Linked DNA regions of Alligator mississippiensis. The protein of the gene in region 1 interacts with the protein of each later gene in a biochemical or structural test. Links are inferred from orthologs where the notes say so. Each region holds a gene or a part of one and is shown in the gene's direction. Other genes may lie near its edges.

The links.
Region 2: the proteins of UBE2D1 (region 1) and RLIM form a complex in vitro, tested with the Homo sapiens proteins (5 studies listed by BioGRID). The link is inferred for Alligator mississippiensis from reciprocal best matches to the Homo sapiens genes UBE2D1 and RLIM.
Region 3: the proteins of UBE2D1 (region 1) and PRKN form a complex in vitro, tested with the Homo sapiens proteins (3 studies listed by BioGRID). The link is inferred for Alligator mississippiensis from reciprocal best matches to the Homo sapiens genes UBE2D1 and PRKN.
Region 4: the proteins of UBE2D1 (region 1) and E3 ubiquitin-protein ligase TRIM7 form a complex in vitro, tested with the Homo sapiens proteins (3 studies listed by BioGRID). The link is inferred for Alligator mississippiensis from reciprocal best matches to the Homo sapiens genes UBE2D1 and TRIM7.

The regions. Positions count from the first base shown.
Region 1 is NC_081829.1:60,194,394-60,202,105, reverse strand, and holds the start of UBE2D1 (ubiquitin-conjugating enzyme E2 D1), read left to right. Parts: upstream 1-4,701; 5' UTR 4,702-4,802; coding exon 4,803-4,826; intron 4,827-7,712.
Region 2 is NC_081831.1:65,171,905-65,179,584, reverse strand, and holds the start of RLIM (E3 ubiquitin-protein ligase RLIM), read left to right. Parts: upstream 1-4,662; 5' UTR 4,663-4,787; coding exon 4,788-4,952; intron 4,953-5,951; coding exon 5,952-6,144; intron 6,145-7,174; coding exon 7,175-7,258; intron 7,259-7,680. UniProt on the Homo sapiens protein: E3 ubiquitin-protein ligase.
Region 3 is NC_081824.1:140,162,292-140,169,427, reverse strand, and holds the start of PRKN (E3 ubiquitin-protein ligase parkin), read left to right. Parts: upstream 1-4,136; 5' UTR 4,137-4,210; coding exon 4,211-4,217; intron 4,218-7,136. Other genes in the region: PACRG (parkin coregulated gene protein), read right to left, coding at 2,702-2,788, 3,352-3,498. UniProt on the Homo sapiens protein: Functions within a multiprotein E3 ubiquitin ligase complex, catalyzing the covalent attachment of ubiquitin moieties onto substrate proteins. Substrates include SYT11 and VDAC1.
Region 4 is NC_081834.1:49,651,484-49,659,448, reverse strand, and holds the start of E3 ubiquitin-protein ligase TRIM7, read left to right. Parts: upstream 1-4,955; 5' UTR 4,956-5,027; coding exon 5,028-5,444; intron 5,445-6,049; coding exon 6,050-6,145; intron 6,146-7,965. UniProt on the Homo sapiens protein: E3 ubiquitin-protein ligase that have both tumor-promoting and tumor-suppressing activities and functions in several biological processes including innate immunity, regulation of ferroptosis as well as cell proliferation and migration.

The DNA.
Region 1 (7,712 bases):
TCCTAGGCAATCTATTTCACTGCTTCATCGTTCCAACAGTAAATAAGTTTTTTCCAGATATCCAGTCTAAATCAACTTTACTGCAAGCCATTGGTCTACACCCTGCTCTCTGCAATGGAAAATAAAAGGTGTTTTCTCTCTTCCTTATGGCATCCCTTCAAATACTTGAACACTGCTATCCTGTGCCCTCTTAAGCAATCTTTGCACAAGCTGAACATTGCTACATGTGACATAGATATAAAGACAATCCCTAATACTCCCTTGCCTCCCTGGATCCTAAGCCCATGTTGCTTACAAGGATGCTTTTAGTTGTGTGAATTAACTCAGAAGTCCATTAGTGTGCAGAGACTATTCCAGATGAAAATATACGGCTCTAGTATCGTGCATCTTGTGCAGGGTGCAGCAGGCCACAAACATACATACAGTGTTCTAATCCTCACCAGCTTTAGAGGCAATGCCATTTGGCTTCCCCTTTCTGAATGTATGTTTGAACAGCATTCTGCAGCTGCCAAAAAATATAACTGCATTTTTTCTACAGTTCCTTGTCTGGGTATAGATGAGCTTCATGAGCTACAGCAGGAGAGAATAGGCACAGTCCCTCAAAGTCATGGTGAGCATTTGTGCCCCATGGTCATGTATTTGGAAGAAGCAAGGTCCTAATTTATATATGTCTCAAAACCTAGGTGCCCTGCATCTTGCCGGTATTTCCCACACTTCTATGGATCATGACATTCTGTAGGACCAACAGCAACTTCTTTAACTTAAGATATTGAAGGAGCAACTATAGGCATGTGTGTGGCACTAATGGCCTCAGTACAATTTGGGTATTCTAGTCTCTGAAAGCCAGATACTATTTCAGGGACTTTCCTGATGCCAACAGTCTGCTGGGCTAGTAACACTGCCTCAGCTCCACTGTGCTCTGAGGCAGTATTATTGGAGAAGCTGAGTCAGAAACATAGGAGCAGTTCTTAAGGGCTTGTATACACTGGAGAAAGACTGCATGGTAACAATGTCTCTGAGAGTTCTGTTTAATATTGAAGAACTAAATGAATGATATTTAAACAAGTCTGGAAATTTTAAGGCTAAAAACTATTAAGATGGAGTGAAAATTAAGGCTATATATTAGTAATTTAAGAATGAAAACCTCTAGAGATGTTGGTAATTATAGGAAAGTCAAGCACTACAAAATCAAATCAGTCACAAATAAACTAACACATAAAAGAAAATCCAGCTAAATTATGGTAAGAAATGCACAGTTAAGATACTCAAATAATCTTACCTCTGCACTACAGTGATGACATAAGATGGGGAAAATGATAAATGTCTAATGTCTTCAGCCTTTTTGGGTAGGGCAAGATAATCATCATCTCCATTATCAGTGTAATCTAATCTACGTTCACAAACACTGAAATGTCTTAATCATATTAGGCACGTCGCCACAAGACAGTTTACTCAAGACTAGAGCAAACTATTGTGCAGTAAGCATCACTGTCTACACATACAGATGCTTCCTGCACAGTAATTTGTTCTAATTGCAGGCAAATTTGCCATCTGTAAATACAAGTACCAAATTTACTCAGGAGTAATTACTGTGCAGTACATCATGTGTAGATGGCTGACTGGGAGCAAATGTGTAGATGACTGACCAGGAGACACCTGTCTCCTGGCAGGGGCTGAGAGATTGCTCCCTGCCCCCAGGAGCTGCCTGCTGCCAAGACAGGCTCCACTACTGGAACCAGGGCAGGGACAATGTCCCCATGCCTCTGCAGCAGGGAGCTCCCAGCCCCCACTTTGCAATTGTGGAGCACAGAACAGGGAGGGGGCTGGGAGATAAAAATCATCTCCCAGCCCCCACTCCATGATTATCTGTCTGAGTTGGGTTTACTCTAATAGTAAATTACTCTGGAGGAGGGGTTCTCAATCTCTGGGCCACAGCCCGCTGCTGGGCCACAGCGGGTCAGCTGCCAGTCTGCAGCATGGTCGGCTGCTGGACTGGAAGTGGCTGCAGACCAGCAAACTGTGGCCCCCAGAGCTGGGCAGAGAGACCACGGCTCCTTTTGCAGGGCCAACGGCAGCGCAGGGTTTGGCTCAGATCCCCTGCCCGGAAGATGGGGGATATCCTTACCTGTCTTTCAGCCGCAGTTTGCCAGGTCGCAGCATAAAAACTTTGGGAATGCCTGCTGTAGAGTAAACCCACCTTGGAGCATTTGCACATGTAGATGCACCCATTGTATAACTAAAGGGCAGTTCAGATTGTTGGATTTATTTTCAATGTAACTTTAACTCTAAATTTCCTAGTCTTGTGATGTTTGGTTTTGGAATAATTACAAGCTTCCCTGTAATGTTTCTGACTCTTAATTTACCAATACCTATGATACAGTTACTAATTTTTCTCCATTTCAACATCATTTTTGTAGAGGAATTCTATTAACTTCTTTCTTATAAATTTCCTTCTTTCTGTGCTTGTTTATCATTGCCAGAAAATGTCCTTTAGTTAGTAAGTTTAGTAAGAACCTCTCTTATTAGACTCTGAAGAGTCTGAACTTTAATCAACAGAACGTAGATCTTTGACTTTCTGGCACTACACCTGATCAATCTGAGATAAAAACAACAAGGAATAAAGCAAACAAGTATTGCCTTTGCCTTAGTCGGTAAACCATGCAGAGCAGGTTTACTCCACATGACCCAAAACAGCTCGATGTTTCTTTGACCTTGTGATAGATGAGGCCACTGGTACTGCACACTTCCTCTAGCATAGTTACAAAGATAATCTAACAACTTCTTAGAGTGATATGTACTTTGAACTGTGCTAAACTGAACTGTTTCAAAAGCATTCTAAAGCTGTTTTAGTCTGGCCAATGTTTGAATGTGCCCTTCAAAGGAAAAACAAGTGATCCTGTATTTTCCTCTTTATGATGCATATAAAGCTAAATATTATAAAGCATTATTTTTCGTTTGTTCACATTAGAATTTAAGATCTGTCCTACTTGATATTTTCCTGTGAGAATGAGTAGGATTATTAAGTAAAATAAATTTGGAGTGCAACCAATTAAGTGCTGTTTAACCAGTCTATTTCACTCCCCCTTGGGAACACTTATATGGATGGTATTTGTTGTTAGCAGACCCTGATATGAAGACAACAGTTGCCCAGAAGATAGGGAAGTTATTGGTGAGTCCAGAAATGACTGAAGAGGCCAATCCGAGAACTGCATGACTGCAGACATGGCATACAGTTCCAGGAGGAGGAGCAGCAAATCCTGGTAACCTTGGGTCGTGGCTTGTTCATTTTGTCCCTCTCTCCTATCTGCTTCTATAGAGAGGTGAATTTGCTTGAAATGGTTGATGCTTTTCACTTCATGGCATCATTGGGAACAGGTCAGTGCTCAAGTTTCCCAGGTACTGATGTTAATATGGCATTTCTTCAGCTTGGCTTTCAAGGTGTCCTTGAATCTCTCCTTTTGCCCACCTCTAGAGCGGTGACCATTGGCGAGTTGGGAGTATAGGACCTGTTTTAGGAGCCAGTTGTCAGGAGTTCTTATGACATGCCCTGGCCGACGGATCTGGTGCCATATAAACACAGCTTCAATGCTGGTGGGGTTTGCTTGAGCTAGAACATTGGCATTCGTTCTTCTGTCCTTCCAGTTGTCTTTTCCGAAGACCTTGCTGACGGTCACACTCCCAGGCTATCTGGAGTTTCCAATACGTTCAGAAACTGCTAAACTCTTGGAGTCAATTTCCATGGTACTTTAGTGAATTCTACAGTCTACATACACATTATTACTAAAAGGTTTCTTTTTATGATGTTTGCTACTTTTTTTCTTTGACTGTTCTTAAGCTGTAAAACAGGGAGAGCAAGTGTTCTGATGTACCTGCCCTCTATCATTATCGTGTACTTGTCTCCTTTGTAAGGTGAACAGTCAGTCTTCTCAGTCTCTTTATGTGAGGGTTTTATAGACCCTGATTGATTATTGTTGTCTTTCTGTTCCTTTACTACTTGTTTTGTACCTTAGATTGATTGAGCAGGTGTAGTGCCGCAGAACCAAAGGTCTACCTACCGTCCGTTGATTCAAGTGCAGACTCTTCAGAGTCTAGGAAGAGGTTTTTACTAAACCTACTAACTAAAGGACATTTTCTGTCAATGATAAACAAGCACAAAATGAAGGACGTTTATAAGAAGGAAATCAATATAATTCCTGGACAAAATGACGTTGAAATGGAGTCAAGATTAGTAACTGTATCATAGGTATCAGTAAATTAAGAGTCAGAAACATTACAGAGAGGGCAACAGCCTGGGGGACAAGAAGTTTGGGCCCTGATGTCACACCAGGGAAGGCAAGATTTGGGAGGCCTCCGAAGGTGGCACTGGCAGCTTCTCTGTGGCGTCAAACACGCTCCTCGGCACCCGGTTTCGGGAAAAGGTGGCTGGCGGTCGGGGACGTGCTCCACCTGCTAGCTCCCTGGGGCGAGGGGTGTTTGTCTGCTTTCCTTGCTCTTCCAAGGCGGCCGCCGCCTCCAGTGCGGGCCGCACGCGGTCTCCACGCAGCCCCCTCGGCAGTGACATCCGGGCGGCTGGTCCGCGGGGCCGGGCTCGGGCCCGGGCGCGCGGGGCGGTGGCGTCGGGCGGGCGGCAGGGGGCGCCGTTGCCACGCCGCCGGGACTACATCCCCCAGGCTGCCGCGGGCGGGGCTCGGGCTGCGACTCAAAGCGGAAACAAAGAGACAAGGAGCCGGAGCAGAGCGGACCCCGGCCCGGCCCCGGACCCGCCGCGCCTGCAGCCCGCCGCGCCCCGGCCGCCGCCCCCCATGGCGCTGAAGCGGATACAGAAAGTGAGTGCGGCCGGCGGGCCCGCTCCCTGCTCCTCGCCCGCTCGGCCGGGCCGGGCCGAGGCGGGTGCCGGCAGCTCCGGCCCGGCCCGACCTGCCCGCCGCGGTGGCGGCCATGGGGGCGGCGGCGGAGCGCCTGGGCCGGCGGCGCGAGGGGCGGCCGGGCAGGCCGGGGGCGGGGGCAGAGCGCGCCGAGCTGTCAGCGCCGCGGGTAGGAGGCCGCTGCGCCCGGCGGCGGGAGGCGGGAGGCAGGAGGCGACGGGGCCGGCCGGCCCCTCCCGGCAGCGCTGCCAGGGCCGCTGGGGCGGGAAGCGGAGGCCGCGGCAGCTCCGAGACGGCGCAGCTCCCCGTCTGCCCGCACCGCTGCCCGGCCGAGAGGCGTCGGGAGGTCGCCTGTAGTCCGACCCCTGCTCAAGGCAGCACCATCCCCAGCTGTCTCAGCCCAGCCAAGGCTTTGTCCACCCAGGTCTCAAAGACCTCCAAGGATGGAGATCCCACAGCAAGGGTAGTTTGTTCCTGTGCTTCACCACCCTCCTAGTGAGAGAGTTTTTCCTTATATCCAACCTAAATCTCCCTTCCTGCAACTTGAGACCGTTGCTCCTTGTTCTGTCACCTGCCACCACTGAGAGCAGTCCAGCTCCATCCTCTTTGCAACCCCCTGCAGGGAGTTGAAGGCTGCTATTAAATCCCCTCTCAGTTTTCTCTTCTCCAGACTAAATAAGTACAGTTCCCTCAGCCCCTTTCAGAAGTCATGTCCCCAGCCCCCTCACCATTTCACTTGCCATCCACTGAACTCCTTCCAATATGTTCATGTCCTTTCTGTAGTGGGGGCCCAAAACTGGACACAGTACTCCAGATGTCGCCTCACCAGTGCTGAAAAGAGGGAAACATCAGTTCCCTCAATCTGCTATCAGTGCTCCTGCTAATGCAGCCCCATATGCTGTTAGCCTTCTTCACAACAAGGGCATACTGTTGGCTCATATTCAGTTTATTGTCCACTGTCAACCCCAGGTCTCTTTCTGCAGAGCTGCTGTTTAGCCAGTCAGTCCCCAGCCTGTACTGGTGCATGGGATTGTTTCATCCTACGTGCAGGATTTTGCACTTGTCCTTATAGAACTTCATGAGATTCCTTTTGGTCCAATCCTGGACACAACCTATAGGCAGGTCCCAAAACTCAAACCTACAAGCAGCACTTGTAAGTGACATCCTTTTAAAATGAAAGAACTTGTGCAGACTCTGTTCTTCCTGGAATGCTTGCCCTATAAGTGTCCATCTTTTGTGGCCATAGAGCTGTTTTTTACCATTCATGAGAAATGTGAGTGATGGGTACATGTTTCACAGATAGTCTAAGGTTATAAAGTTATGCTGTCTTGCTGCTGTTACTAATTTAATGGCATCCTTGTATTCCCATCTAGCATTCTATCCTGCTCTCTTCATGTGGATTAGTGCTTGGTTTCTTGTTTAGAATTATGTTTACACAATTATTTGATGAGGATGTCACAACTGGTTAACTGGAAATGAATGAAGGTATTAACCTGAATTATGCCAGCCACTGAACTGAGCTTAAAGTACAGATTTAGGAGCTGGGAGAGTTAATACCAGCTCTGCCACAGATTACTCAGGAAAACTAAGGTAGAGACAAGCTGTCTGTCAAACGAAGATCACTCATCTACCTCGTGGGATTCGGAAGTTCCATTTATAATACTCAAATTCCACATAATGTGTGGAGGTCCTTGGGTGGAAATAATAGAATAAATACAAATTACTAAATATATTTAAAGTTGTTCTAGAGCTGTTCTAGGCTATTTTATTTATTTAGGGGTGTTCTTAACAGTTGATAGGAGACCTTTAATTCCAGATAGCCAGCAGGCAATAGAAGTATTCATGTGGGATCAGTTCTATGGTCCAACTAAGAAACAGCTTGATTGCATTCTGTCCCCAGTGGTGGCCAGGACCAGATGCATCAAAAGACAATACAGGATTTGGAATAATTTGCTTGACTCCCTTTCTTCCCATAAAAGCATCATCCTGATCTCTAGTAGTTAGAAGCATGAATCTAAAATCAGATTATTTTATCCCTCCTCAAACTGTCACTAAATATATTAACTCTGGACTGTATTATCTGTATAAGCAAGCAGTCAGTCTTTGGAATATTGCTAAACTCTTGGAGTCAATTTCTATAGTAGTGAATTCTACAGTCTACATATGCATTATATTAAAAGGTTTCCTTTTATGATCTGTTTGCTGCTTTTTTTTCTTTGACTGTTCCTTCTTAAGCTGTCAAACAGGGAGAGCAAATGTTCCTGATGTACTTGCTCTCTATCATTATTGTGTACTTGTCTCCTTTTTTTGTCTCCTTTGTAAGGTGAACAGTCAGTCTTCTCGGTCTCTTTATGTGAGGTTTTTTATAGACCCTTATTGATTATTGTTGTCTTTCTCTGAATCCCTCTGGTTTTATAGTATCCTTTTTTTGGGGTGGTATGATAAATACTGCATGCAGTATTCCAAAGGAAGCCACACCACTGATCTAAAGCATCTGTTCTATTATATTTGCTGTATTTTTTCTCTGCTTACATTTCTTATGTGTTGTATCATTTTTTTTCTTAAGAGCTCCTCCATGTAGAGGAAGCCTATAACTTGTACGGTCAAAACATTTTTTAAAAGCTTTCTTACGTGGTTGAGTGGTCTGTAAACAGTTCTTTGCACTAATGTGAAAACTTAGAAGTTGGTATTTCAAAGTGGGAAGAACATAACCTAGTCTAACAGTATTCTCATCACTTACCTTAATTACTTATTTTTTATTTGAAATGTGAAAAAAATTCAGAGGGAGAGAGACAGCAAAAGGTTTGCTGAAGTTGGCAAGTCCAACATTAGATTGCTTTCTTCTTC
Region 2 (7,680 bases), on another chromosome or scaffold:
TGCAATTTTTGGGATGTATCTTGGGATGGAAGATGCTGTGTAGGTGCCAAAGTATTAATGATCAAGATGGCTGGGAGTTTAAGCATTTTACTGTTGCTTAGTGTCCAAAATGACTTATTAAGCATCTAGTTTAAGTAAATTCCTGGAACCGCATTTTTATATTTTTCTTTGGTGGGGGGGTGTGTGTGTGTGTGAAGTCAAGGCTTGAAGACTAAAGCTTTTCCATATTGAATGGACATGGCTAGTTCTTGCTCACTTATTCCTTGGAGAGCATAAAAGTCGTTCTTCTTCTGTAGATAGTAAAATATTGAACAATGGTGGATATTCACTAATTGCTAGCATAAGCTTGCTGTACTTATGCTTATGTCTGGTGGTAGAAACATAGCTAGTCTTTTGTTCTGGAATTTGTTGAGTGTGATTGTTGTGTGACCACTAAAATCTTGGAGTGGGAATGGCAATTAAGCTTTTACTGTAGTTAATATATCTGAGTGTTCAGCAGCTTAAAAAATACACCTGTTTAAGTAAAGTCTCTGTCCAGACTCTTGTTTCCAGCGAACTTTAGACGCATCTTGCTGTGCTTCCATAAAAATGTTCAGTTTTATTACTGGATATATCAACTAAAGTTGGCTATAATCAACAGATCTGCACTTACTACTAAAAGACATGAGCCCCTGCAGTCTTTTGTGTCCTCTGTTGACAGCTCTTGGCTGACGGAAGAAAGGAAATTCTGTATTATACTGAGGTAAGAACAAAATCTCACTTGGAGTTTAAAGCAATATGAGCAGTGTAGATAATATGGCTACATCTATATTTTGGAAGCCATATGTAACATAATAGGACAGGGGCGGGCAATTATTTCGGGCGCAGGGCCACTTACTGAGTTTTGGCAAGCCATCAAGGGCTGCGTGACAGGCAGCCGGGGTAGATGAATATTAATTTTCTAAATTGTTAGGGGCCCTGTGGGCCAGATAGAATGGCCTGGCAGGCCACACCCCTGTAATAGGATGTCACCAATGATGCCTGCCTTAACATATTGGCTAACATGGTATATTTTGCCCTTATGTCATTTTTGCCCTACAGTAGCATGCTGAAAAATTGACAACAGCCTTAAAATATTTTCCATTTGTAGACTTCACACTTCAGGACTATTGTGAGTGGAGCGCATATTCTGGGGCTTGTAACTCTCAGAGATTTAACTGTCTAGCAGTTGTTTTTGTGAAACTGTAGTATGAGAACATGTTTGTAGTGCTGTGCGAATGCCACCACTCTACATCCCATTCTGACAAGGCAGGAAGGAGCTATGCTGTCTTTGTAGTACTTCTGGTGTTTTGTAACTGGCATCTAGTATTATAGGGTTTGGAGAGAGAAGCCATGTATCCCATGGAGGAAAGGAAGGACCTCAAGGAAATGAAAAGTACCAGAGAATGGAGCAAGGACAGGGGAATGAACGCTATCTAAGTAGAAAGTTTATTCTATTCCTTTAAGTGGTCATTCTTTGCTGCTTCTTCCCTTGCAGTTATTAAATATAGTGACAAATTGCTCATTTTGAGACATCTGGAGATTAGAGTGGGGCCTTGGACGTTTTGGCTTTTATGCATCAGTGTAGCTTCCCCACTGAGCTTCACTTGCAGAAGCCCCTAATGTAGACTTGCTGCCTCTATATTAGACCTATGGTGTCTACCCTGTTTTGAGAGTGAGGTATGCCACACTAGTGCAGAATTAATACCAGGTGTTTGCAGTAGTGAAGTATAGTGTGGTGGTAGGTACACCAATATAAAAATTTGTAGCAGGCAGCCCTATGTTTAACTGAATGCTCAGATTCACCACTGGTTCCTTCTTCCGGTAATGACATCTTCCTAGGCCAACATGAAACTGTGCAGATGAAAAGGTAAGAAGATGGATTAATGAAAGGAAGAGGACTGAGGAAGGAAAACCCAGTCCAAAATGCAAGCTGGGGAAAAAATAAGGTTGAAAATATTGCCTAAGAGTAATCTTTGACTGTTTTCCGTAGTGTTTATATATTTTAATACACTCGAGTCCACTTTCTTGGCCTATTAAATGATTGTCTCACCTCACTTCTGTTGATGGGACACTGTTCTTGGTCAGGCTTCTGAAACGGAAAAGGCCAGTGTTTTCCATTGGATAATCAAAGCGTGCTCTTAGTCAGAATGAAAATGATGAAGCATTAATAGTTAACGCAGCGTCTTTCTTGAAAGAATGTGTACTTGTCATGGGATTATAGTATCACATGCGTCTTTCAGCATATTGTTTGTTCCTTTTGTTTTATAATTGGGTTTTAGAGATAAGAAACTTTCTTTTCTACCGACCTTTCCTTTGCTGTGTGATAGATCCACATAAATGGAGGAAACTAGCTCTAGAGTTGGAGTTCATTATTCAGTAACAGCTGTCAAATGCATAATGAAAAACTAAAAAAGTATTTTTCTCAACTTTGTACTTAAATGTTAATTTTAACTATAGCAGCCTACATATTTAGGTGTCTCCGAGTTGACAACCTCTTTAACCAAGATTTGTTTAGTACAAAATCTTTTCTAGCACTGTCAAGAGTTCTACACAAACTTAAAAAAGCTACTGTAATAGACAAAGCATAGGTTAACCCCTGTTCTGTATTACTTGTGTGAATTTTGAAGCTCACACTCATCCTTATGAGCTGATCCCAATATATGAGGGTATTAACAGTTACTTAAAATGTACAGAATAGCACACATTTCTCACTTTTCAATGCGTTTGATGGTACGAGTTTTTGGACTGCATCTATGTTTCTCAACAGAGTGACATCAAATCAACTTTCACTTCACACATATAGGAGCCTTCTGTTGGCTACTTTTGCCTGTCAGAGGTGAAAGTATTAGCAAATGCAATTGGTATTTGTGGGTGTCTTCCATTTTGGAAAATAAATACAATACTAAATAATACAAATATGAAAAAAATCTATGCTTTGTATTATGTTAGTGGCAGCAAAGGAACTTGCATGTTAGTTAATAGGATGACTAAAATAAAAACAGGGTTATAGAATCATCATTTTAAAAGCCAAAGTAGAGAATATATATAGTGTGACTGACTTTGTAGTTCTTGAGCCTCATACAGTGGTAGAATGCTGGATTTTATAGTGTTTCTTTCTGTGCTTAAAGCTCTAAAGGTGATGTTACTTTGTGAGTTGCAGTGCACTGGCAGCCACTGAAATTACACAGGCAGAGTGGTCTTGGAGGTGACGCAACACTTCTTATTTGCAGAAGTGCCGGCATAAACTGGGCAGTGTCTGACTTGCCAGCTGTGCTGAGAAACCAAAAAAAGTGTCAGTTCTGTGCACTAGACAGCTGCTAAAGCATCTTATTTGGAAGTTCTCCAGCAAAAGGCAGAAAGTGAAATGCTTTTTTCTTCCAATATTTTCACATAGCTTTAGCTGTTATTTAATAAGAGGGAATATTCATGGTGGCAGTGGAGCATTTTACCACATGGAAAGCTAGCTAGATAACCAGCTCTGTGAGTAATTGCAGATTCTAGCACTTTATGCGGTGGATGGTGAGGCGCATGTATTAAGGAAAACCAGTTATTGTCGAGGTTTCATTTGAATGCATTTGCAAGGGTTTAAGGTTACCATTGTTTCCTGATTTTGTTCGTCCTTTGCTTTTAATACTGATCAGATGAAGACATTACTCTAATGTTGAAAGATGTGATGAAGGTACTTGTCTTACTGAAATAGTAAGAGGGAGACAGGAAGACATTTACTTGATTATTGCTGGCAATATGTCTGGCATACAAGTTTCTTTTTGTCCTCTGAATTCTTGTCATCAAAATTTACTGGTTGCAGACTGGCTTCTAGTGCATCTAAGTTATACTCTCGATACTGGATGCTGGAATTAATTTCTAACCTTTTCCTCTCTTGAGAAAACTAAGGTCTTGCTATCACAGACAAAATGTTTTCTGGAACTCTCAGTGTATTGTGCTTTTATTCAGCTTCTTGGCCCATATTTCTGCCAAATATATCTGGCTGTTGGGGGATCGATGTTACTCTTACTTGGCTGGAAGGCCTGACATGAGGCACTTCCTTCCCTTAAGAATAACTCTGGGAGAATAAAACCTGTAAAACTTGTCTTCTAGTGTAATGTAAAGTTGGATTCAGTGACAACTTGCATCCTTTACAGATTGTCTGAATACATCCTTTAGACTTCTCTAAATTGTGGTTTGTGATTTGCCAAGGAATAGCAGCTCTGAGGATGTATGTGCTAGAACAGGGGTGGGCAAAATGTGGCTTGCGGGCTGGATGCAGCCCACCAGGCCATTCTATCTGGCCCGCAGGGCCCCTAAAAAAAAATTTAGAAAATATTTATCTACCCCTGGCTGTCTGTCACGCGGCCCTCAATGGCTTGCCAAAACTCAGTAAGCGGCCCTCTTCCTGAAATAATTGCCTGCCCCTGTGCTAGAAAAATAGATTTAGACTAGGGGTAAGCAATGTTTTTTGGCCAGAGTGCCAAAAAATCCACCATGTCTACCTTGGAAGGTGGCGGAGTGCCGGCATGTCAGAAAAACAAAATGGGGAGGGTGGTATATGGCAGGACTCGCTGCATAGTAGTATATTTAATAATCATAAATGTTGCCTTTATTGTTGTGTATTCCTTTTTTGTTGAGCATGTTGCAATGAGAGAGAAAAAAAGAGACAAGAGGAAGAGGAGAGAGAGAGAGAGAAAGAAAAAGAAGAGCAGAGAGAGAACCAGACACATGCACACAGAAAACCATGTGCACAAACACAGAGCCAGAACACACCCAGAATGGACACATGCATATATGCATCCAGAACTAGACACGTGTGTGCGCGCACAGATGCAGGACCAGACCAAGGCAGACATACGCACAGAACCAGATACGTGGGCACACGGAGCTGGGCTCCTCTGTCACTGGACAAAGTCAGCTCAGAGGCACACGTACGCCTGCTGGTATGGAGCTAATGCCGGAGCCCAGAGCAGATGTTTGCAGCCTTCCGGCTGCAGCCAGCCAGGGTTCTTGGTAGCTGCTGTCAACCACGGCAGAGCTTGTAGCCACCCAGCTGCCTCCTGGGAGCAGCCTGGGCTTTGTGGCTGGCAGCAGCTGCCTAGAGCCCAGGCCGGTGGTGGCGTGCTGAGCAAAATGGCCTTATGTGCCATGCTTGGCACACGTGCCAGGGGTTGCTGACCCCTGGTTTAGACCTTTCGTGCCTGAGCAACATTGAATATATAAAAGGATGGACCTGAGGTTATGGCCTATAGTTTTCATGCAGCTTTTCATTGTCGAGATGTGCAGTTCTGCTGAAAGTTCTATGTGGTACTGCACTTCTTGATGTTCTTCTCTGGAGAAGAGACGACTGAGTGGGGATTTGGTAATAGTCTTCATATACCTGAAGGGCAATTATAGAGAGGATGGAGATAGGTTTGTCTCTATTGCTGTAAGAGACGGGTCTAGGAGAAATAGCTTTAGGCTGCAGCAGAAGAAATTGTGGTTGGAGATTACGAGAAACTTCCAGACTATACGATTAGTTAAGTATTGGAGCAAGCTATCTAGAAGTTGTGGAATCTCCATCGATAGAAATTTTTAGGAGCAAGTTAGACACTTGCCTGGGATAGTTTAGTCACGGAGGGTCTTGCTGGGAGCATGAGGCTAGATTACATGACCTTCTGAGATCCCTTTTAGTTCAACAGTCTTACGTTATTGCGTCCAAAAAAGAGAGACTGATTTTTCAAAACAATTTAAATGCTAATCCCTGTGGTCATACAGGATATCCTCATAACTGGGACTTCTAGAAAAATAAAATTCCATGTTTTATGTTTAAGATGCTCAGTTTAAGTGAATGTCCAGATCAGGAACAAGTAAATCATTCCTCTAAAAGTATCATTAAGTTTTATAGGTTACCATAACTTACATGTACCCATGGTTTAAAAATATTGTTTTTCTTTTTTCAGATTCTCTTCCACTCTTTCATCAACATGGAAAGCTCAGATTCTAATGATAAAGGAAATATTGATCAATCAGAAGCTCAGCGTCGTAGTCAGCTGGATCGATTAGATCGGGAAGAAGCTTTCTATCAGTTTGTCAATAACCTGAGTGACGAGGAGTACAGGCTTATGAGGGATAACAATTTGCTAGGAACTCCAGGTATATCAGAATACATATTTGTATATTAAAGTTTTAATGTTACCAGACTAATTTTAATGACCTGTTTTTTTTTCTTGCTGCTGTGCCATTAAATTCCCCCCCCCGGTATTCTTCCAACTACAATTGTATGCCAGCGTAAGAGAGTAGCTCTCTACTTATCTGAACGTACAGTATGTCTTTTCTAGAAAGGCAATACATATAATTTAGCGCTAACTAGGATGAAATTGAGTTAACAGAAGCAGAGTTTATTTGCTTTGTTTATGTTTACTCAGCTTAAAAAAGGACATCCAAAGTTTGTCTGAGGCCTGTTCTGGTATTGGCCTTGTGTATGGGAGAAGGTTGCACCAGCTTAATGAAGAGTACAGATTTTAATGGCAAACTAGCTAAACTGGTGATGGCCTTTGTGAGGAGTGTATTTCAGTTTAGCTTATTCTTGTTAGAAATCATCTTGGAGAAACAAAAATAAGCCACTTGAAAAGATTAAATAAGTTTGTCCATCCAGGAGCTTGCACTGGTTTACCTGAATTGCTATTAAAACTTGCAAGATGGCTTTTTTAATGCATTCCTAATAGAGGTAAGCTAAATTTGAAATGAGCCAGTCCAAGAAAAATATGCCAACACATGTTGGTAATAAATCAGTTAAAAGTAATACCTCTTATAGTTGTCTCATATAGGCAGAATCTTAATTGGTTTGGAATGGAGAAGACTGATGAGATTTTTCTTAGAGATTACAGGAAAAAGCTTTTCTCAATTTTGTTCTAAATAGTTGGTAACTGTATTTTGGATGCTGCAGTTGTAGCTGGTCTTACCTGTGAGCAAGGATGCTTTGGGGGGTTCCACAAGCTGCCCTCTGGCTAAATTTCTAGAAGTCAGTGAAGAATATTTATAAGCAGTTAGCTTTTTGTTAAAAGAATATTCACAATCTCTCTGAACTGCAGTCTTAAGACTGTTTAAGATGTACATAATTCCTTCCTTATAGAGATTATTTGGACATACATATATATTGGGAAATCTTTCTTTGTTTCTTAAGGTGAAATTACTGAAGAAGAGTTGCTGAGAAGGCTACACCAAATTAAAGAAGGTCCACCACAGCAAAACAGTGATGAGAATAGAGGTATATACAGTATTTGTGAAAACTCTTAACTTTAGCACCTAATACGGACCTTAACTTGAGTGCAGGAGTGGAACAAGTTAAGCCTAGGCAGGTGCAAGGTGAGCTTTGTTTAAAAATTAAGTGAACGTTCTATTTGACACAACCTGCAAAGATCAGTTTTGGACAGATTTCAAGTATGGCATCTATTACTAGCGCCACAATAAGATTTCTTCTACGTTTCTTTAGTTGACTTTTTTTTTTGTTCAAATTTCTTTGCATTCTGTTCCCTTCTGAGATATACCCATAAGTCCCTTGTTTTCCCACCTTCACTCCTTTTGCTTTTGTTATCCCTCTACAAAGGAGAAATACACACAGTTCCCATTAGAGCAGTGCTTCCCAAACTTCTCCTCAGCATGACTGCATTTTCTCAGCATGACCCTATT
Region 3 (7,136 bases), on another chromosome or scaffold:
CCATGCAATTAGCCCATACAGCAGTGACCACAGGCACCTGGGCTTCTTGCAGACATTAAAAAAGAAAAAAAAAATGTGCTTTACTGGAAGAGGAAGCACATTACTTCAAACTGGATCTGCAGCATCTGCATAGATCAGGCATTTCAGCAGGGTTTTTTGGCACTTTTAGCTAAAGCTTTTAATTAGCTATTAAATTAAAGCCCCACTAAAGCACCCGATCTCTACAGTTGTCAGGCAAGCTGGGTCTAACTGATGTGCTGCCTCTTGTGGGCATGTGCTGGGCTCAGCATGAGAACATGGCATGTTTAAAGTACCTTTTTTTTTTTAACATCTGCAAGCAGCTCTGGTGGTCATTTGAAAGAGCAATTTGGGAAGTCCTAGGCAGCCTCTCTCATAAAAGTATATGATATTAAGACATGACGGACAACTGAAGGGTGACTGCCCAGAAAGTAAGGGCCGCATCCAGGGGCTTCACGGCCACCTCTGGAAGTTCACCCTGCCACTTCAACATCAGTGAATCTCAGACTGCTGTCAGGTTGTTTTAAGGGTGATGCAGGATGCCATGCAATATTAGCACTGTTAGGCATGCACATGATTCCCAAGATAGACCCAGTAGGCATTTATACACATGCTCTGGGAGGCGGGGGGTGGGGGTGCTTTAATTACAGCTGCTCTAATTAAAGCATCAGGAGCAACATGTGTATCAGCATCCCTACGCTGAAAAATGGCAGCAGGGACACTTTGACTAAAGCTTATCAAATGAGCTTTAGTTAAAGCACCCCCAACTGTCATTTATCAACACAGGGATGCTGATACACGTGACACTGGATTCTGCTGGAGCATGGTAGTTACCCCATTCCAGCACAGGTACTATGGATTATGATGTGCTGTAATTAGTGTGTCAGAGCAGCCTCAATGTACGTGGATAGGTGCCCAGTGATTTCAAACAGGAATCCATAGTACCTACTGAAAACACTCTGACCCGTTGTGGTCTTTCTGAGCCCCTTGTAACAAAAGACTTGCTCCATTGTTTTCCCATTGTAAAAAAAAAAAAGAGCAGAAGCTAAGAGCTATCACTTTCACAGGGGTCCCAAGGGCTAACAAGGGGTGCCTTAGGTCTAAAAAAGGTTGATAATCATTGGTTTAGATATGCTAGAGTACAATCTAATCATGTAATAAAGTGTATTATAAAAAATAAAACCTTAAAAGTGAGATCAAACCAGTGGTAGAAAGTTTAACAATTGCCAAAGTTGAGGAAATAGAGACAAGCAGGATGTGAAATCCCTCCAACTTTTTCAATATGTTGTTCTGGTACATTAAAAAGATTTATACATTTACATTCACTACGAATGACCTTAGTGAAACTAACTTGCCTACAATTAAGTGCTCATATTTGCAGGAGTGTAAGCCTACATTTTTACATAATAAGACTGCAGTCTAAAGGAGGGCTTTTGGACATTGCCATCCGACAAGTGTTTACTCCTTATATAGTCTAAAATTCTGTTATTAAGCCTCCCCAGTCCTTCAAAAAGGGGACTCAAGACTTGGTATTTCAGAATGAAGGAAACCCACAGATGGCTGAAACCTTTCTTTCTTTTCATGTTGCTTTGTTGGATCTAATCTAATACCTGCTTAAGCCAAAAGGACATCTTCTAAACAGTTGAAGCACATTGTGTGAGGCTTTACAGAATGGTAATTTATGATCAAAATATAATAATGTATTTTTTAATTAATGTTGCCAATTATCTTTTTAGAGTTAAATGTAAAAATGAAAACTAATTATGGAAAACACTTTTTTCCCCCCAAAAGCTGAATTTGTTTGATTTGACTGTAAATATTAAATCACATACATTGTGTTCTTAGTACTATATGATAATAGGTTAGTGCTAGGAGAAGCTTTGCTTTTAATTACTGTTGGCTATAAGATTATTTGGGACCTCTAGAAAGGGAAAATGTTACTTATCAGGTATTTTCTAGAACAGAACGTTTTTGTTTATATTTAAAGTAGACTTGCTTATGCTTAATTGTCAATATTTGCTGTATATAGTGAATTCCAGAGACCTGTGAGAGAAGTCTCTAGCATTTCTTTTTCTTTTCCCCAGGAAAACAAATATAAATTAAAAAAGAGAAAAAAAGAATACTGTTATATACACCTTGAACTGTACCCACAAGCAAACAAAAAGCCAGTCCAGAGATTTGAGCACAGATGTTGTGTACTTGTAATAGCTCGTTCCACTTGCAAACTGAGCAGCTGCATTCTGCACTAGCAGAAGCTTTGATTTTTATTTATTACATTTGATGGGAGCAATCAATTAACACAATTATTGCAAAAAAGCTTCATTACAAACACAGGGCCCAATTCTGGACTCTCTACTGATGGCAGCCATCCCAGGATCTTCAGTGGAAGTGCTTCTCTAGGGACTATTAATGAAAGTAAAGATTACTGGATCCACCCCTGGGTCATCTTCATCCTAAAAGCTATCAGCTGGAGAATTACATCCTTTTCAATGTACTATTCACTAGTATTGTGAGAGTTATTTTTGGAAGTTATTATTAAAAAGTGTGTTTTTCATTATCTTCATGGTTATTTAGTGATGTTCAACTGTTTCTTTCCCTCACCTTTTCCTAGGGGTTTGCTAAAAATACATTGGGTTAGCTACGTTAACTAAAAATACACACTTAGTACCATTACATTATTCACCTGAGGCTCTGAAGCATGATCTACTGTACATCTCCTGTCCCCTGTCTCTCTGGTCACCACTGGCCCTGCCCAGGCCTTGGGAGTCACCTGGGTGCCAGAGACAGATTTTTGCCATATGATTTGACATTTGTCATAATCGCGCCAAACAGCAACTTGAGAAGAAAACATTTTTGCGCCATGCTTTTGCACAGTACGATCGAGTGCATGCCCTGTGGATACCCTGGCCCTCTGATGCAATGTGAATGGCCGACAAAAAACAACATCGTGCCACAACGGCGCCGACCTGACGCATTACGAAGCTCAGGAGCAAACCCTCTGGAGGGGACATCTCCTCCTTCACATGGGCTTTTCCCAAGGCCTGGAGGCTCTATCAGTGACCGCTGACCTCCACAGAAAGACCTGCCAATCCCACACAACCCTGTGGCAAGTACAGTCCCCAACACTCTCTCAATACGTCTTTCACAGGCACATGAAACTAAACCAGCAGTGCTCAAACACCTTGGCCTACGGGCCACATCTGACCCTTTGGAAGCCCCAGTGAATGATGCCATCTCTCTCCCACTGCCCAACCTCTGGCCCCGTGGGGAGCACGGTGGCAGGAGGCAGAACCTGCCGGGCGCACCACACAGTCAGGCAGGCAGGCAACGTACCACGCTGTTCTTCATCATGGCCTTGACGGTGAAGCCGTCGCTGACCTGTGGCTTGGCTTTCTTGGCAGGCCGCAGTGGCAGCTGCTGTTGTGGGGGGAGGTGCCATGCTGGCTTCAGGGCACAGGCGCCCTGCTGCTCCACCACCATCTTGCCCCGCACCTTCCTAAAAGAAATAAAAGGAAAGTAGGGATGAGAAAGGAACCAGGGGCAAGGGTTACATTTATTGCATTTGGAATAAATCTAAGAAAATTTACATTAAATGAACAAAACAGGGATCAGAAACATGTCAGCCAGATGCAAAAAGAAGTCAGCCCTCCCCCCCCCCATGGGATGTCCCTCCCACCCCACCCCAGAATGGGATGCTTCCCCCCGCCCCACAATTGGATGCTTTCCACCCTCTCCCTGCCACCCCCACAATGGGATGTCCCTCCCCTACGCCCCACAATGGGATGCTCCCCCCGCCTCACCCCGCGGGGGCTCGCGGCAGGGGCGGCTGCGCGCGGGGTGGACGCTATAACCGAGTCAGTCGCCAGCGCGCGCGCGCTTCTAGGGACGCGTTCCGGTTGCTAGGCAACGCGTCAACAACCTGTCGGCTGGCCGCGCCCGGTCACGTGCGGCAGCCGAGGGAAAGGGGGAGGAGTAGAGGTGTCAATTTGCGTCGATCACGTGATCCCACGTGAGAACTACGCTCCCCAGCGTAGGTTGCGCCCCTCCCTTTCCCAACCGCCCGCTGAAGCAGCTACGGCACCAGCAGCGACTTCGCTGCGCAGGCGTAGTGTGACTCAGCGGCCGGCAGGGCGCAGGGCGAGGCTTTGCGCAGCGCGGCTCCTCCCCCCCCACCCCTCACTGCGCCGGGGCTATGATCGGTGAGTGAGTGAGACCCGGATGTAGCGCCCCCTTTTTTTTCCTCCCGCCCCGTCCCCAGCGGCCACCATGACGCAGCGCGCGGCGGAGCTTGTGACGTACCCCCCCCTCCGTCATGCACAGAACACGCCCCTCCACTGGCCCTCAGTGTGCCCCTCCCCCCGCAGGCCTTTGGGGCCACGTGGGCCCCTGTTTGTGCTTACCCCTGGCCCTGAGTCACGAGGGTGTCAGTCCTCGCACCCTGGCTCCCTGAAGCAGGTGGCCTGTGCCATGGTCCTTGGCCACGAGAGAGGAAGGGGTTGGCTGGGCAAGGGGAAGTGTGAGATGCCCCAGCCTTTACTTACAGCCCAAGCCAGAGGCAAAGGCCTCAGGGTTCCCAACCCTCCAGGATTTCCTTGGAGTCTCCAGGAATTAGATACAAATCTTCAGGAGACTGCTATGAGCACCCCCCACCCTGGAGATCAGTGATAGGGGTCTCATTCAAATAAATAGGAAATGTTGAGTCTGATTTATGCAGTAGTCCAGAAGGTCTTTCATATGTAGCAGTATCGTGCATTGGCCTTCCTGGCCTGAAGTCTACACACTGTAAACCGTAACTGATGCATGCAGGCATGTTTGTGCTGTGTGTCGTTATGTCATGGGATGAAACCTCTCAGAAGAGATTCAAACAGAGTTGGCAACCTTAGACGGTCCCGATATCTTTCTCTTGACCCTGGGGCCAAGTTGTGAAGGCCCAAACTTCTCCCTCATCCTTTTTTTTTTTTTTTTTAATTATTTCCGGGTTAACCTCTTCCAACCACAGTGCTGGCATGGTCTCTTCTAGTTAACTGCCTCCAGCTTTGCTGCAGTGCATCATTATAAATACTGGTGGCAGCCATTGGGGCCATCTTATCTTCCCTTGCTCTGGTGTTACCCAGGGTTCAAATTACATCAAATTTGATTCTTCCAGGGGTTTGCAAAAGCAATTGGGCTACCCACAGTGCCATATTAACGCATAGGCAAACCAGGCACATGCCTAGGGCCTTAAGTGAAGAAGGGGACCAGTTGTGCTTATTTACATATTATAATTACTGACTGAAAAAAAGTAGGGGCCCATGAATTTGTTTGCCTAGGGCCCACTAAAGGGTTAATCCAGCCCTGGCTGCTCATCACTATGCTCTAATAAAATTGGAGACTCCCCCCAGGTTATGATTTTCAAATCTTACAGGGGAGCTCTCATCTCTTATGCAGGGGACTCAGCCCTACTGAGCTCCCCAGTAATTCAAACCTTGGTGTTACCCTTCCTGGCAGCAGAACTAAAGCGGGGCAGTTGTGTGATCTGGGTAAGGTGCTGTGCTGGTCATCCTTGAGGACCCTGTTCTACATTCAAATTAAAACTGGATAGAAACCAGTTATATTGTGGTTTCCTGTTCTCAAATGCTAACTTTGTAGCTGGTTGTCTCTCTTTAAAGCAGGGTAGTTATTTTTATTGTGTGATTGTTACTTGCCGCATGTAGCTGGTCTAAATTTATTGCAGGATTAACTTGTTAATTGTATTACTTTGCATGTGTGGCCTGTCTAAATTTATGTTGGGTAATTGTGTAATATCTGTAAGTTATAGTGGGCGCCTGAGTTAGCAATGTGCAGCCTTCTGATAGCACGACCATTCAGTTGTTTCACTGGCTATAATTTCGTTTGGAAAGAAGAGACAATTTATCTTCAGTATTTCCCTTCCATCATTGTAGGGCTCCACCAAACACAAAAGCCACCTCTTCCCTTACTACGTCTCTTTCCCCCCTGCGTCTCTCTTTTAATTTCATTTTTGTAATTTGTTAATTATTCACAGACAAGACCAAAGGAGCAGAAAGTGGGATGCTAAATGAATTTAATACTAAATAAAATAAATTATTTTCCTCCACCCACAGATTTTAAATGCTTTTCTCTGCCCTTCATATTGGGTGTTTGTCCACTTTCTGAGAACTGATCAGTTTTGTGATTGTTGGACACATTGCCCAGGCAGCAACAGTAATAATCCAAGAATTCGGTAATGGAATTGACTCAAAGGATTTTGGACACTATAAACTTCATGGCTTTTACCCTTAGAAATGTTCATTCCTTTTTAACAGTAATGTTCTGGTAAAAACATGTACTGTAGTGGTATTCTTTAAAACTAAATTCTTCCCAACCCTGTCAAAAAAGCACAAGTTTGATCATGTGGTTTTCCATCTCTGAATATTCATGGAAATAAGTCTCTTCATAGCTCTATACAGTCCATACCTGGCCTTTTGTCTGCACGTAGTTTTCTGATACAGTAGAGAATATGCAAAAGTCTTGATTTCAGGGAAAATATTGTAGTATCCACATGTACTTATATCTTGATAAAATATATGAAGGGCAGGTTTCTTGTTTACAGGAATACATTTTATTTATTTTTCTCTAATTCCTGTAAAAAAAATTAGTATGTTACAATTTAAAAAGGTGTAAGTATCTCACATTTCTGAAGAAAGGCTCAGGAGTTAGTTGCTTGAGGTTGTGTTAGGGTTAATCTACCAAGTTCTTTATTGTTACTTAGTTATTTTGCATTCATAGGATATGACTTTAAAAGAATGAAAAATATAAATTGATCAGAAAAAATCTCAAAACAATTGTTATATCCCAACTGTATATTGGTTTGTAAGGCTGTGCGAAACGGCACCGTTCCATTTTGGCTTGAGTTTCAAGGTTTCAACAGAACAGCATTTTGTTTTGAATTTCATTTCAATTTGAAACCGCTGTTCTGTTCTGTTTTGTTTTGTCAAAACAGTGTCACTGTTTCGACGCTGTTTCGCCATTTTGCCCATACAATATAATGGGGAAGCTTAAAACAGCCTCTCTCATCCAGCAGGCAGATGGGGGCCCGCAACCGTGGGAGGGCTGCAGGGACTGTGCCGGTCCTACCGGGG
Region 4 (7,965 bases), on another chromosome or scaffold:
ACACTTTTAAAGTGATACTTAATGCACATTAGCCTATTTTAATGTGCATTAAGTAAAAAGCATGGGTTTTTTTTACATGACACTTTACTGCACATTAAAGCATATGTGTAGACGCACCATGGAGTTCATAAGCAGCTCTAGATGTAAAATCCAGCTCTGCTCTGTAACTGTGGGCTGAGTCTCCTGTGGAGTTACAATATTCAGGTCTAGTGCCAGGCAGGGAATGCAAATCTGGAAAGATTTTCTTGCCCCACTGGTATTTATGGCTCTGATTAAAAACAGCATCCGTGTTCCACAAATCACTTCCTAAGCATGTGACTGAAGCATTGAAACCAATGGGCTCAAGTGATTGCCTCTGTGCAGTCTTGTAAGAACTGTTCAGTGCAGATCTGGAATCCCACTACAATTTTTCAGTTGGAAAGCGAGACAGCTATGAGGTTCAGATCTACATCGGGGTCTGATATTCACACCTGAAGTTATATTTTATCTCCCCCAATACCTTACTGCAAAGAACCTGCAGCCCAGATCCAGACCCAAAGCTGAAGTTGGTTCCTTATTCCTAGTTCCTTATTTATTGTTCCCAGTTCCTGGTTCCTTTTTCAAAGCTAATCTAGACCCAATACAAACTTTTAATTAATGAATTCCACATCCTAAAAACAAGAGAATGTAATTGTCTATACATATGTACTAATTAATATGTAAAATAACATTCCACATCAAGTACAGAGCCCAAATGAAGGTCAGATTAGGATGGGATTATGGGGCAAAATACTTCTTAGGACACCCCAAATTTCATGGCGATGCCACCGGGGGACTGTTCCAAAGACCCCTGACCACAGTCCTACCTGGCCCAAAGCACGGTTTGGCTATACCAGGCTGCCAACTAACAGCCCCCATGCCCACTGTACTAAGTATAATGGCTTGAATAAGGAACTGGTTTTCAGGCTGGGATTATGGCTAGAAATTCTTCTTGGGCCACCCATCAGAATACCTCTGTGCCACCGGGGGGCTGTCCTGGACATCTGTGACCAGAGACTTGCCCGGCCTAAAGTGTGGTTTGGCTGTGCCAAGATGCCAATGGACAGCACACCAGCCACTCTGCTAAGTGTATGGACTTGAATAAGGAAGTGGATTTTGGGCTGGGATTATACCCAAAAATCCTTTTTGGGCCACCCTAGACCCCACCTCTGTGGTACCGGGAGACTCTCCTGGACATCTCTGGCCACAGACTTGCCTGGGCCAAAGGGCGGTTTGACCATGCCAGGCTGACAACAGACAGCACCCCAGCCGCTGTGCTAAATACATGGAACTGAATAAGGAACTGGATTTTGGATTGGGATTACACCAAGAAATCCTTCTTGGACCACCCCAGAACATACCTCTGTTTCACCAGGGGATGCTTTTGGACATCTCTGACCACAGATTTTCCCGGCCCAAAACACAGTTTGGCCGTGCCAGGCTGCCAACAGACAGGACCCAGGCAACAGTGATAAATATGTGGAACCGAATAAGGAATTGGATTATGGACTGAGATTATACTCAGAAATCCTTCTTGGGCCACCCCAGACCACTCTCCTGTGGCACCAGGGGACTCTCCTGGACATCTCTGACCAGAGACTTGCCCGGCCCAAGGCGTGGCTTGGCCGTGCCAAACTGCCAGCTGAAACCACCTCCCAGACACAGTCCTAAATATGTACACCCAAATAAGGAACTGGATTTTGGGCTAGGATTATAGCTAGAAAATCTTCTTGGGCCACCCATCAGAATACCTCTGCACAACCGGGGGACTCAACCAGGTGTATCTCACTAGAGACTTGTCTGGCCCATGTGCGGGCCGGGAACAATCCGAGGCCCTTTTTGTGCACCGCGGGCTGTGGCCAGCAGCCTGGACACGCCGGGTCAGGGAAGGCAGGCGGCACGCTTGAATTAGGCACGGACGCTTAATGGTTGTTTAAGATTGTTTACTTATACCGAAGATGGTCGCGGTGTAGGCTGGAACTTTTCCAGGAATACTTCGCTTAAATCCTAGTTTAAGGACTTGGAAAGAACTCTGATTCACTCACAGGAAGTTTTCGAGGCTCCGTGGAACTTTGCGCGCAGGGAAGGGTACGTCGAGGGATCATTCGGCAACAGGGAGCAGAATCGATAGGTGATCAGTCTATCGATCAGTTTAGCCGCAAGTCAAATCTCCTTAGAGGCACTTTGCAGCATGCTCGAAGTTCTCCGACTTGGGCGGAAACCACTCAAGCCTCTTATACGGCTAGTAAGCCAATCGCTAGCCGCCACGTGGGAATAATTTAGAACTGACCAATAGTGGGGCACAAATTTAAATACAAATGGCGGGAACTCCTTGCAACGTGCATTTCTGTGCTGCAACGAAGAAATGCACCCTGCAAAGAAAGCTACAAATGGCGGGAAAATAATTTAGCAGTGCCGAAGCACACACAAACAAAAATCACACCCTTGGGTTGTGACAGCCCAAAATGCGGTTTGGCTGTGCCAGGCTGCCAAATGACAGTACCCGGGCACTGGGCTAGATATATGGATCCGAATAAGGAACAGGCTTTTGGGCTAGGATTACAGCTAGAAATCCTTCTTGGGCCACCCCATGGCATACCTCTGTGACCCCAGAGGACTCTCATGGACATCTCTGACCAGAGACTTGCCCGGCCCAAAAGGCAGTTTGGCTGTGCCCGGCTGCTATCTGACAGTCCCCCAGCCACTGCACTAAGTATAATGGCTCGAATAAGGAACTGTTTTTTGGGCTGGGATTAGAGATGGAAATCCTTGTTGGGCCACCCCACTCTATGACTCTGTGGCACTGGGCGATTCTCCCAGGCATCCCCCACCAGAGTACTGTCCGGCCTAAAGCGCAGTTTGGCTCTGCCACGCTGTCAACTCAGAGCAGCCCCCCCCACTCCCCTCCGTGACTGTACTAAGGACAATGGCTTGAATAGGGAACTCTTTTTGGGCTGGGATTAGAAATGGAAATCCTTCTTGGCCACACCACACTATGACTCTGTGACACCAGTGGACTCCCCTGGACATCTCTAACCAGAGTCTTGCCCAGCCTAGAGCGTGGTTTCATCATGCCATGCTGCTAACTGCAGCCCCCGTATCCATTAACATAATAAAAGGCTTTGTCTGGCTGTCTGTGTGTCCATCTGAATGTCTGTCTGTCTTGGGCCAGGCAAGACTCTGGTTAGAGGTGTCCAGGAGAGTGGCCTGATGCCAAAGAGTCATGACATGGGGTGGCCCAAGAAGCATTTCCATTTCTAATCCCAGCCCACCAACCAATTCCTAATTCAAGACCGTATACTTAGCACAGTGGCTGGGGTGCTGTCTGTTGGTTTCCTGGCACGGCCAAACCATGCTTTGAGCTGGGCAAGTCTCTGCTCAGAGATATCCAGGACAGTTCATCAGTGGCACAGAGATGTGTTATGGGGTGGCCAGAGATGGATTTCCATCTAAAATCCCAGCTCAAAATCCAGTTCCTTATTCGGATCCATATACTTTGGGCTGTGCTGGGCTGCTTACAGTAGGCAGGCTGGCACAGCCAAATCCTGCTTTGGGCCGGGCAAGTCTGTGGTCAAAGATGTCCAGGAGACTCCCCTGGTGCCACAAAGGCACAGCATGGGGTGGTCCAAGAAGGATTTCTTGGTATAATCCGAGCCCAAAATCCAGGTCCTTATTTGGGTCCAGATACTTAGCAGAGTGGCTGGGGTGCTGTCATTTGGCAGCCTGGCATGGACAAACCACACCTTGGGCCAGGCAAGTGGTTGGTCACAGATGTTCAGGAGCATCTCTCGGTGCACCGAGATGTGGTCTGGGGTGGCCCAAGAAGGATTTCTAGCTATAATCCCAACCCAAACTTCAAATCCCGATACTTAGCACAGTGTCTATGGGGGTGGTGTCAGTTGGCAGCCTGGCAGGGCCATACTGTGCTTTGGGATGAGCAAGTCTGCGATCAAAGATGTCCAGGATAGTCCCCTGATGCCACAGAGGCACAGCGTGGGGTGGCCTAAGAAGGATTTCTGGGTATAAACCCAGCCCAAATTCCAGTTCCTTATTCGGTTCCATGTACTTAGCACAGCGGCTGGGGTGCTGGCTGTTGTCAGCTTGGCATGGCCAAACCATGCTTTGGGCTGCGCAAGTCCCTGATCAGAGATGTCCAGGACAGTCCCCCAGAACCATGGAGTCATGTACTGGGGTGGACCAAGAAGGATTTCTGAGTATAATCCTGGTCCAAAAACCAGTTCCTTATTCGGGTCCGTACATTTAGCACAGTGGCTGGGGTGCTGTCTGTTGGCAGCTTGGCACGGCTAAACCACACTTTTGGTCAGTCAAGTCTCTGGTCACAGATGTCCAGGACAGTCCCCCGGTGGCACAGAGGTATTCTGATGGGTGGCCTAAGCAGAATTTCTAGCCATAATACCAGCCTGAAAGCCAGTTCCTTATTTAAACCATTATACTTAGTACAGTGGGCATGGGGGCTATTAGTTGGCAGCCTGGCACAGCCAAACCGTGCTTTGGGCCAGGTGGGACTGTGGTCAGGGGTCTTTGGGACAGTCCCCTGGTGGCATCGCCATGAAATTTGGGGTGTCCCAAGAAGTATTTTGCCCCATAATCCCATCCTAATCTAACCTTCATTTGGGCTCTGTACTTGATGTGGAATATTATTTTACATATTAATTAGTACATATGCACAGACAATGACATTCTCTCTTTTATAGGAATAAGGACTAGGGAACCAGGAATAAGGAACGGAATAAGGAACCAACATCAGCCTCATGATCTTCATATGGAGACCTCGCTACCTCTTTTTTTTTTCCATCTGAGTTTCTTTCCCCCAGCTGTAGCACTGGCAAGTGATTCATTACTGGTTTAAGTGATTAGGTGGAGCAGAAATGACTTCAGGGCACCAGCTGGTTCCTGGAATGGGAACACCCACTTTTTGCTCAGTGCCAGGCATTCATTCCCTGTGTACAGTTCAAGTGAAATCAGTTTCTGCTCTCAGGGAAGGAGCCATGGCAGCCGTGTTTCTCCCTGGGAACCTCCAAGACGAAGCCACTTGCTCGGTCTGCTTGGAGTTTTTCAAAGATCCGGTGTCCATTGAATGTGGCCACAATTTCTGCCGAGCCTGCATCGCAAAGAGCTGGAAGGAGCTGGAAATGGACTTCCCCTGCCCTCAATGCCGAGAGGTATTTCAGCACAAGAGCTTCAGGCCCAACAGACAGCTGGCTAACATGTCCGAGATTATCAGCCAGTTCACCACACGCGGCGTGAAGGGGAGCGAGGAAGACGGGTTTTGTGAGAAGCACAGGGAAGCGCTGAAACTCTACTGCAAAGATGATCAGAAGACAATCTGTGTGGTATGCGACAGGTCCCGGGAGCACAGGCCTCATACAGTAGTGCCCATAGATGAGGCTGCAGAGGAGTACAAGGTATCTGTCTGTATGTCTTTGTGTCTTTCTATGCGTTCATACTCCATTTATCACCAAATTATGCAACAATCACCTAGCCCAATGGTTTTCAGGCATATCTTATTGGCATGTAACAAGCAATGACCAGTGTGGGACAACAGATCCCAAAGTACTCGTTGCTTCCTTTTCCCAGCTGTCAAGTTACAGTAAAAGACATTTGAAATCTTCAGATATCCTTTCCTAATGTTACTATTGATATAAGCAATTGTTTTAGTTGCCACGTGGATGTTACATGGTCATAAGCAGAAAGGGATGGTGGGAGCCTGAGGGATCATGGATAGGAATGGGAAAGTTCAAGGGGACAACTTCTCTGTGAATGTATGACCCACACAATGAGACACTTTGAGAACTCTGCTTTAAATAGTCTCCCGTATATATATTCACTTGAAGCAAAGTAATTTCAAAAGCTTGGCACTGCAAAAACTTTCTGAGCTCCTGAGTTAGTTTTATTAGGAAATGAAAGGTGAAATAAGTGAAAATATCCTGATTTATATTTAGCATGGGAGAATTTCTTTGGCACCTTCACCAGAAACCATAATAAAAATCCTTTTTACTATTATTTCTAGGGGCAAGTTCAGAGCCGTTTGGATAACCTGAAGAAAGAGAGACAAGAATTGCTGGAGTTCAAATCAAATGATGATAAGAAAACCCAAGACCTATTGGTGGGTGCCTGCTCTTTGCCACAAGATAACACTCAGGTGTTAGGGTGTAAATGGGAAATAGCATCACAATTTTCAAGGGAAACAAAGTGAAGCCTAACTGCTATTGGGTTTATGTTGCACTGAGGAAAAAATTGTTCTGGTTAACTGCAATCAGGGCTCAGAGTAGAGGTGATATTTTTATTAGATCAACAAGATTTTTGCAAAAAAAAAATAAATCCTTTAATTGCACGCTTTTGGGCACAAAAACCCTTCATCGGGCATCGGAGAAAAGATTCGAATTAACTGGAAACACAATTCTCATCTGAGATATTGCAGAGATGAGTATTTTAAGAAATATTAGTATGAATCCTGGCTAAAAATTTAAAAAACCACTGCAACTTCTGATCCAAACCACCTTAATGGAGGGTTGCCTTCCAGAGAATGCCTGCTCAGAAGTTTCTGAAATTCAGGTCCCTTGACCGTGTTTCAAATTGGGCACTGAAAGAGGGACACATCCAAAATCAATTTTGAAAGGTTAGAAGACGGGCAACAACAACAATAAGTGACAGGGATTAAGTCATGCTGTTCTATTTTAATGAAAGAGCTCTGCAAGTATGTAACAAGCCAGGAAAAGTGCTATTTGCTGAAGTCAGCTTCTCCCAGGCTGCTGGCTATCACCTCCAGCTGGGTCACCAGCTGTTGTCTCTATGGAGTGAGAGGGGAGAGCTGTTGGCACCTCAGGTTTAATCCCACCAGGTGCTGAGCAAACAGAAAAGATGTTTAGCACCCACAAATACCGTAGGAGATGGGGGCACTCAGCACTTTGCAGGATCAAGCCCTGGATTCCCATTCTCCTGTCCTTAGTCATGCACTGCTGAGTCTCATATGTCGATATCCTCCTGAGACATTCAGCCATGTAAACTGCTTTGTGGGCTAGTGCTGCACCTTCTAAATGTCACCTGCACCTAAATGACCCCCCCACCCCGGTCTCCGGAACTGGTTGCAGGGGGGGCACATGCCCCACCCTCCTCCCCAACTAAGGGGGCACCAGTCGTCCATGGTCACTTAATAGCTAAAGAAGAGGGGAATGTGTGTGTGGGGTGGTCACACAGCAGTGAAACCCAAATGCATGCTTGATTCATGTTCAAGGACCAAGACAGTAAGAAACAAAAATGCCCAGATTTACCTCTGAAATGCAGACAGCATAAATCTAAGCCAGAGGAAGGATGAGCCCTGGGTCTGTTTTTGGACGGTAAATGTCAGCAGAGCAACAGATCCCATTCCTTACCCTCTGCTCTCAGGTCATGTCTTTCTCGTGTCACTCCTGTCAGGCAAAAGTGTGCTCCTATCCCCTTTCCTTGCTGATAATACCCCTAGACAGTCATCCTCCCTTTCAGCAGGATTCACAGGCTTATGGCTACTCAAACGCTGCCTTCATTTTCACTCTAGATAAGTAGCAGGCAGAGTAGATTTGCACCTTCTAGACTAACCAAAGTGTGTGTGTGTGTGTGTGTGTGTGTGTGTGTGTGTGTGTTTGTGAAGGTTCCTTGGGTGAATTTGATATCTTTTATCAGACCAACCCAAATAGTTGGAGAATAGTTATTAAGCAAGCTTTCAGGTTCAAAAACCCTTCGTCAGGCTAAGGAAGTTTCAGCAGTTTGTGTGTGCTCTTCCTGGATGGAGTGAAAAGTAAAAAGCCAGGGGCTGGGCTGGGGAGTCGGTTGCCAGGCAGAGTGTGTGTGTGTGTGTGTGTGTGTCTCACATGCTTTTGTATGCTATAGTTCACTTAATCAGATACTGTAAGGCAGAAGGCACGGGTGCACACTTTAGAGAATAACTGG